Tribolium castaneum: one gene and its partner. The protein of the gene in region 2 interacts with the protein of the main gene of each other region in a pairwise test. Links are inferred from orthologs where the notes say so. Each region holds a gene or a part of one and is shown on either strand. Other genes may lie near its edges.

Region 1 (4,296 bases), on a different chromosome or scaffold from region 2:
AATTCTTTCGGTAAGTTTCCCCTTACTGTTGACACCTCGCAAAAATTATTTTTAGACTTATCTTGTCGATCAAAACTCGCCGTTTTAAACGAAAAGTTGACAACTCTCGAGCGAAAGATCGACTATTTGGAAGCTTGTGTAAGTCTCATTTACATAACACTGCGCTTTATTTACAAATAAACTGAAGGTCACCAAAGGGGAAACCTTGACATAAGATGCTCCTCACTCGCCTCAGCCACCTCCAAAGGCCGCTCATCCCCCACACGCGCACCCTCTTCCACTGGCTGAACATCGTCTTCAACCGCGTGGACGACGAACGACGGAAACAAGTGGGGCCTGACAGGTCTTGTGCCGAGTGGCTGTTGCGGAACGGGGCCCACGTCAAGTGGGAGCACTGCAACGAGTTTCTCACAGACTATAACAAACTGCCGAGCGACAGGATTAGGTTACACATCGTGGAAGTGAACGCGTCTGAAGCCAGCATAATGCACTACGGGTTTGACCATTTCGTGGGGTGCGAACACATCCGGAAAATCATTTTCCACAAGTGCTACTATCTGGAGAATGAGGCGTTGAAAGGGCTGTCGGTTTTAAAAAACTCATTACTTTATTTACAAATCACCGAGTGTTTGAATATAACAGAGCCGGGGCTGAGTCACCTCAACGCGTTGAATAACTTAAAAGAGCTGATTCTGGCCGATCTGCCGTACGTCAAAGAGAGGGAAAAAATCGTCGATAAATTACAGCACGGCCTGCCACATTGTACGATACAGTTCCATTAAATAATCAACCCTCGAGCTTTGCTTTCATTATCGTTGGCGAGGAGACAAGTCCGATCTGTTCCCCCGACTCCAACTGTTTCAATAGCCTGAACAAAGCGGCAGCTTCGCGAATGCGACTAAACTCGATACAAAACGCCTGAACTTCGATAAACAACTCCTGGACGTTGATTATTTTGTTGCGAATGAGCGACTGGAGAAACACACAAACCAGTCGAACCAGCCGATTTTGCATATAACGGTCCTTGATAGTCTCACAAGTCGATATGCAATTCGAAATGTACAAGTGGACAAACTCTGTGGGCAAATCCACGGTCGTTGTGAGCCGATTTACCACTTCCATGGAATGCAGCGACATTTCCATGTTGACAAGAACGCTGAAATATTCCGTTATTTGTTTCGATTGCATAAGCTTGAGCAAAACTTCAATCGCGATAAGTGGATTATTTTCCACCAGTTCGGGCAACTGCAAGCACTCAAATCAGCGAAAATCACCAAATTTCGATTCATACTTTGGACGGAGTCAAACCAATGTGGTACACAAGTTTTGAGTCGTTTTCCAGCTCGCCTAGCAGTTGTTGCTGCTGTTGCAAAGACAGCGCTGATTTGTACGCCTTGTTCATCAATTGTCTCGCCTCCTGGCCTGCTGTGTCAGGCACACACATCGTCACGTCATATGCTACAGTGTGTTCTTTGATGTTTGTCGGATTTAGCCACACCATCTTAAAAAACACAATCAAGGGTAGTAATAAATTATCACAGCTTCCTTGATTAATGGAAATTTCCCTTCGTCTCCATAGCATTAAACAAAGAAGCTGTATTATGTAACCTTACTTCATCATCTGTGTTGAGCAAAGGCGGTGCTAGTGTCACAAATTCCGGTTTGTACACTTTATTAATGGGGGCGTTATCACCGGTTGCTATAGTTTTCACAAGGGCTGCATAATCGTTCCGTTCTGTCGTATAATTGTTAGTTTTTTCAGGCAGTGATAAAACTACAGGAATTCCTGTTTTGCAAGTGTGTGGCAATTCAGACTGTTTTTCGGCTAGTAGTAATTGTACAACGGAAAAATCGAAATTTGTTTGCGTATTCCCAACGTCTGAATTGATTATTTGCGTGGCTGTTTTTTTCAAAATCTTGAAGAAAAAAAATCGTTTAGTAATTTCCTATCAGGGGAGGCCCTGGATAATCTTACAGCATCTTTGGGCACATCTGATAACAGTTGCGTTAAGAATTGTTTTTCTGGTGGTGTCAGTTTGGGTAGTTGGCCTGGATATTCCTGTTTGGGGGACCCGACACTACTCTGGTGTTCCGGGGGGTGCTAGGATAATTTCTATGTTACAATTACTAAATTTCTGTGATTACAAACCAAAAGGTGGTTGAAAACGTTGGCAAAAGGGGTGTTTGCCAGAGCTTCGCCCCGATATAACTCATACAGAAGCGTTATAGCAACAAGTTTTTGCTCAGGCTCTTTCAACAGATCTTGCTGAAGCATCATTACCAGACAAGTTCCGACTGAAAAAAACAGTTATTTGGGTAATCAAATAGCGGTTTTTACCTTTAAAATAGTCACAAGAGTCGAATTTTTTGTGCAACTCGTTCGAAAGGCTTTCTAAAGTGTGGGTTCTCACCTTTGTCTCACCCAAAATACTACAAAAACTGAATTAAAAGGGCGCCAAAATTGAACTGGTCTTACTCGAGTAAGATATCACATTGTTCCACCGTGAGGGCCATCGTTTTGCAATAAAACACCTATTTTTACGAAATTTATTTTATATACTCTAACCTATAAACCCAATTCGGACATTGACATTTATCACCATAAGACCGAAAAATCTAGTCGGCCAAACACACCTAAACCCGTGTTTTTCGTCAAAAATAAAAAAATAAAAAGCAGGAAAAAAGTTTTTAATGCAATATTCAATAAACTAATCAACTGAAATAATCAATAAGTTGATTAATTAGAATAATCAATGAATGGGAGTTGGAGTTTTCGACCTTATGCGGACCCGACCGCCGCATTTTCGCCCATGTGTGGTGTTTGGCGTTTGGCTTGACAGTCGACCCAAAATATTTCAATTTTGCGCAAAAACCATGTTTGGGTGCGAATTTTGTGTAAAATAATCAATCCCTCGCGATGGCTTCGTCCCAAGACGCTTGGTACCTGTCCCTCCTGGGGCTAGCCGAGCATTTCCGCACCTCGAGCCCCCCTATGATCAAGCTCTGCATCCAGTGCCTCCAGGCTGTGTTTAATTTTAAACCACCGCCGCGGGTCGAAGCTCGCACTCATTTACAACTCGGAAACATACTTTTGACCCATACCAAGAACACGGACTTGGCGAAAAACCACTTGGAACAAGCGGTAAGTGCGCCCCTTGATTTAACACTCATTTGGACGTGATTGAATTCAGTGGTTGTTGTCACAAATGATCAACACCTTTGACGATGTTAAATTCGAAGCGGCGAGCGTTTTGGCCGAATTGTACGAACAACAGCAGCAAATTTCGCTGTCTAAGCCCATTTTGAGGAAAGCGATCGAGTTGTCGCAACATAATGTTTACTGGCATTGCAGGCTAATTTTCCAGCTTGCGGTAATTAATTATACAATTTGGCAGAACTATTTTAATTGTAAAATTATAGCAAATTCACGCAACTGAGAAAGACTACCAGTTGGCCAGTAGTCTGCTGGGTGTTGGGGTGGATTATGCCCACATCTCGAATGCTTGTTACACTCGAGTTTTGTTTCTTTTAAGTAAAGGAATGGTAAGACTTTAATTAAATCACAAAATTGGGCTAAAATTGTAATTTTAGTTATTATTGATTGACAAAAAGTTGCAAGAAGTCCAGCCAGTATTAAACCAAGCCGGTCACTTGATTGAAACTTGGACAGGCGCTGCGTACCAGAAGGAATACCTCCGAGTGTATTTTTTGGTGTTGCAAGTCCGTTACTCAATTTGATTGGTTTTGTGCTCAAAGCAATTTTCAGGTGTGCCATTGTCTAATGGCCGGTCAGGTAAAAAGCGTAAAACCTTGCCTGAAGCAGTTGCAACAAAGCATACAAACAATAATGGCAACGGATGATGTTTTTACAGGGCCAAGTGTTGGCGATATGTTCTTATGGATGCCCAAAGAGCATCTCTACGTTTTGGTTTATTTGGTAACTGTGATGCACAGTATGCAGGCCGGTTATATGGAAAAGGCCCAGAAATACACCGATAAGGCGTTAATGCAAATCGAGAAATTGAAAAGTTGGTTTTTGTACACTTATCTGACACGTCCAACAATTCTAACAGTTGTAGATAATAAGCCGATTTTGTCGGTTTTCCAGTTAATGTTACTCGAACATATAATTATGTGTCGTCTTGTGATGGGTAACAAGACTCAAGCCTTGCAAGAAATCTCCTCAGCTGTGGCTCTTTGTCGGCAAAATGCCAAGTTGTTAGAGACACACGGACCACAATTGCACACTTTATTGGGGCTTTATTCCATGAGTATGAACTGTATGGAGGCGGCCGA
Region 2 (4,532 bases):
TCAATATCCTTCGATACGTTGGGCGACATTTCCGGGAACAAGTTATATTCAGGAATCCTGCTTTTATCAATATTCGAAGCCGGGCCCATCCTTCCAATATTCCCGATTTGATTAACTCCCAAAACCAGCGACGAACTGGTCCCTACTGGTCCCTGATGTTGCAACGGCATCATCGGAAACGGACTGTTTGAAGGACCAGCACCCAAAATCCGCGAAGGAGACCCGGGAGACTGCACTAGCGGCCCGAGTCCCCCTTGCAAATTAAACGCCGAACTAGTGGGCCCCGACATTGTCATGCTGGCCAAATTCGTGGTCAAACCGGGAATAGTATCGACAGCAGAGTGGTTGTAAAGCTGTCCCGACATTGCCGAAACACTGAACGGGCCTTCAACGCCCCTGGACCTAACAAGAGCCGGCTGTTGACGCGATTTCAGTAAAATACTGCAACCGGTGGTGACGTTGATTATCGCCTCTTGGCACTCGGGACTGACGCTGTTCATGCAAGATTGCAAACAAATCATAATCGTGGTCAAAGTTTCGTTGGGTAGGGACGAAGCTTTGGTCATAGCGTCGTCACTTTTGCCCAGGATTTGCGGGCAACGGCGGTGCAAAAACTTGACGCAAGCTTGGACAAAAGGCTCGCCGTGTTCTCTGATTTTATCCGAGAGCCACTTTTCCAGCTTGAGGTACTCACGTCTGGATGCAAGACAAGCCAAGTCGATGATGAACGGATAAGATTGTTGGTTTTGGGCGTTTAGGAGCATTGAGAGGGCTTTCAGGTCTTGGGCAACGTCCAGAATTCGGGACAGTCTCGTTTGATCGCAGTCGCTTCGCACATACCATTCGGCCATGGCATGCATTATTATGGATTTGATATTGATGTTGGTGGTGTGCCAGGCATGGTGTAGTATTATGGCAGAGTTTGGGTGATTCAGGAGAAAGATTGGGATCAAGTTGGAGAGTAATTCTTGTCTGAGGAGCGTTACAGGCCCTTGTATTTGTAACAATGCGAGGACTAAGACATCAGGACAGTTGTGCATTGGATATTTGAACAGTTCTTGAACGTAAGTGAACAAGCCACATTCAGACATGTGCAGGAGCAACTCGACCAGATTTAACGATCTCCAATTGGCCAGTTCCTTGCTGTCTTGTTCCGGTGGTGTTTTGAGAACGTCAACACTGACGGTCATCGCGGGATAGTCAGCAAAACAGAACACATCTGGATTTTTGAGAACATGTTGAACGAGACTGAACTGCCCCTCGACGTTCGTCCATCTCTTATAAAATTGGTCAATTGGAAAAGTTTCCGGGTGGAATCCCAGCGTCTGGAGGCCATGTCGAAGTGCACTTATTAGAATAATGAGTCCTTGTCTATCTTTAATAATAAATTCGGGATGGTCCAACTCGGCCACAGTGTTGGCCCATTGAAAGTTCGGCACGACCTCTTTCAACGCCTGGACGAAAACCTCCACGTTCCAAGTGCGCCCCTCATTGCCCTTATTAAAACTGCCTGGCGATTGTAGACTGAGTGAATCTTCAAGGCCACTGTGTGTTCGGCACATAACGGTAAGGATCCGAGCGACTGTTGCAGGGGTGATGTCGCGTCCCCCAAGCTTCATCAAGTTGTTCCGACATTCTTCCACCGACGAAGTAAAACCGAAACCGATCTCAGCCACCAGATCGGCCAGCGAAGTCTCTAACATGCCCCCGGATAAACCGGGGCCTTCGGATGACATTTCCGGCGACAATTCACAATGTTCGGGGTAAACTAACGGTGCTAACACTACGGGAACGAGGTCTTTGGGGAAGTCGCGCTGGAGAGTGTCGAGAAACGCCCGGTGCGCGTTGTTGGTGAGCCCAACGTCTTTGGGGGCTTTCAGAACAGCGGAGAGGATCAAGTGGAGGACCTCGGGGGTGGTCTCGTGGAGGCCCCCTTCGTGCTGGCGGGTGCTGCCTTCAGTCTCGATATACGACTGGATGAGAGTCGGAACCGTTAACCGTAAATGTGCCTGGGCTAAAGACGAAACTTCCTGGTTTGAAGAGTGGCGAAGGGCGAGAGCGAAAACGACTTCCTGGACAGCTGAGAGGCGAAGGCACTTGCTCAACTGCTGGAAGAACTGGGGTCCGAATTTGAAAGCCTGTAACGGAACCGCTGCAGAAAAAGTGACCCACCGAAGCGGTTTTGTTACCTTGTTGGTGCTCAATGGATTGTCTGTGATGTAGCAAACAGACGTCAGCAGCGAGGGTTTGTTCAACAAGTTCGAACACTGCTCTAACAATGCTTGATTTTGGGGAGATGGAGCGGTTATTTTGCTTGTAGATTCAGAAAAGTCCACTGATGAAAATAGACATTGGAGCAAGTGACGGTCCGCCTCCAGACCATGCAAAGTTACCAACTATAAAACGAACGTTTGATCAAATTTAAAAGCTGTTTAAGTGATAAGAAGCACTCTGATAATCTGAATGACATTTTGCAAGAACGTGAACGAAAAAAATAATAACAATCAAAACACCTTTGTTCACCACAACATTGCTCGATCGGTAACTGTGCGTGACAGCTGGCATGGAAAAGATGGCCGATTTGTCAATCTGATAATTTTAGTCCACGCATTTGCAACGGTTCAAATTTTCCGCTACTCTTACCTTTGAGAGTTCGGCAACGACTTGCTTGTAGTTCTTTTTGGTTAATGATGCAACTAAATAACTTATTTGTGACAAGGTAAAAGACAACGAGTCTAGGTTCATAGTTCCATGAACACGGCCTCGAAAGCTTCAAATACTTTTGAAGCTTTCTTAGGTATGCACGGGGCTTTTATCCACAAAGTCTTATGTATTTTTGAAAAACAACTAAATTTTAAATGGTCCAAGACCATCATCGAATCTTTAATGTACTTTTCACCACTTTAATTTACCAGAATCATCTTTTGACTCACGCAACACACAACACATGCATCGAATAAAACATATGTATGAAACTACGCATGACCAACAACGAGCTCACTATCCTGAGGGGATGTGTGGTTATAGTTACGTGTATTTTGATTATTTTTCCAGAAAAGACGCGCAAAAAAAAACTACACCACCCGGAACACGCACGAAAATGGCAGGAAAACGTCAACTTTTCACATGTGCTTCGAAAGCCGAAGAAAACTAATGATCCGAATTTGAAACTGCAGCGGCACCTCACGTCATGAACGGTAAGTTCTACCCGCTCTTTTCACCCGAATTCAAAATAAAAACGTTATCTCCATTTACTTATCGCATGTTATCTTATCACTCAGTGTGAATAAAGGACAGATAAAAATAAAACGAACTGGCAAAGATATATTTCTTTATTTCTTAACTGTTCAAAATACAAATTGTAATTAAAACATGTAGAATATTGAAAATGAAGATGAAGCTTTCAGGATTTGCTATGCCTCTCAGCAACTATTTTCTTCATCTTTTCCTTATAAATATTTTCTATTAATTGAATCTGGAATAGAGATTGATTAAATAAACAAGAAATGCGTTACACGTAGCATGTTATTACCTCTCGGTCATTTAAAACCATTTTTTTCAGGACATTTTTCACGTTCTTGTTGGTCTGCTTTTCAATTTTTGTTGCATTATACATATACGCTTCCAAAAGGGACGCCCATCGCTTGTTTAAATCCTGTAATAAAACGATGAATTGCTCTTACTTGAAGAAAAAATCGGTACCTCAAAAGCTTTTTTATGGTTCGTGGCCAGTTTGTTATACTTGTCCAGAACCGCGATGTTGCTACTTTTATACGTTTTGCACTCCTGGATGAGGATGTGCAAGCGCTTGGCTAACTCAATGTTTTCCTTTTCTAAAGTTTCCATCTTACGCCCACATTCCTCCAAAACTGCAGCAAACTGTTTGCGATAATTTGCTTCCTGAATCTTCCACTTTTCCTTCTCCTTGTGATACAAATCGGACCGCTGTTGAATGACTTTCTTGTATTCCTCTTCGATTTTTTCCATTTTCTTTGAATTTTCTTCTTGCAACCGATCACGCAACAACAATTCGGTTTTCAAGAGCTGTGCTTGCAAACATTTTTGAAACACGTCGCTGGTCACAACTACAAGTTCAGGGATAGGAGTAGTAAATTTAAAACACAAACCTACTATCGCTGTTTCTTTTATCTTGTTCCAAACCACTTTCAACGTCTGACAACTCTTTGAATAACTTTTTCCGCACCACATCTTCATTTACTCCATTGACTGTCTTTTGCAAGTCTATGGTCTCCTGTTTTGCATCATTCAGCTGCTTCTGAGTGTTTTCCAGTTGTTTTTCAATCTCTAATTTATTTTGTTCCATCACTTTAATACATTTTTTATAATTGAGAATTTCGTCTTTCAATTTTTGAATAGTGTGCCCATTATCTACCGATTCTTTCAACAAATTGTTCCTGTTTTCAGTCAAAGCAGCAATTTCCTTTTTCATTTCGGCAATTTCATTAGTGCAGCGCCTCAGCTCATAGTCTAGGGCAAATTTTTCACCCTCTAACATAGTTTTGGCGTTTGTA

The links.
Region 1: the proteins of Not1 (region 2) and Not11 interact in binary tests that used the Homo sapiens proteins (3 or more experiments, as listed by UniProt). The link is inferred for Tribolium castaneum from reciprocal best matches to the Homo sapiens genes CNOT1 and CNOT11.

Annotation. Positions count from the first base shown.
Region 1 is NC_087396.1:20,954,566-20,958,861, reverse strand, and holds Not11 (CCR4-NOT transcription complex subunit 11), read right to left. Parts: upstream 2,619-4,296; 5' UTR 2,515-2,618; coding exon 2,477-2,514; intron 2,431-2,476; coding exon 2,339-2,430; intron 2,296-2,338; coding exon 2,150-2,295; intron 2,102-2,149; coding exon 1,976-2,101; intron 1,917-1,975; coding exon 1,614-1,916; intron 1,502-1,613; coding exon 1,292-1,501; intron 1,246-1,291; coding exon 787-1,245; 3' UTR 783-786; downstream 1-782. Other genes in the region: HSPC300 (probable protein BRICK1-B), read left to right, coding at 1-10, 56-138, 188-214; ATP synthase subunit s, mitochondrial, read left to right, coding at 216-782; MAU2 chromatid cohesion factor homolog, read left to right, coding at 2,918-3,142, 3,192-3,371, 3,421-3,543, 3,592-3,720, 3,767-4,296. UniProt on the Homo sapiens protein: Component of the CCR4-NOT complex which is one of the major cellular mRNA deadenylases and is linked to various cellular processes including bulk mRNA degradation, miRNA-mediated repression, translational repression during translational initiation and general transcription regulation.
Region 2 is NC_087394.1:30,458,287-30,462,818, forward strand, and holds the start of Not1 (CCR4-NOT transcription complex subunit 1), read right to left. Parts: upstream 3,061-4,532; 5' UTR 2,746-3,060; coding exon 2,644-2,745; exon of another isoform or gene 2,579-2,643; intron 2,397-2,578; coding exon 1-2,396. Other genes in the region: putative leucine-rich repeat-containing protein DDB_G0290503, read right to left, coding at 3,404-3,475, 3,533-3,655, 3,703-4,085, 4,132-4,532.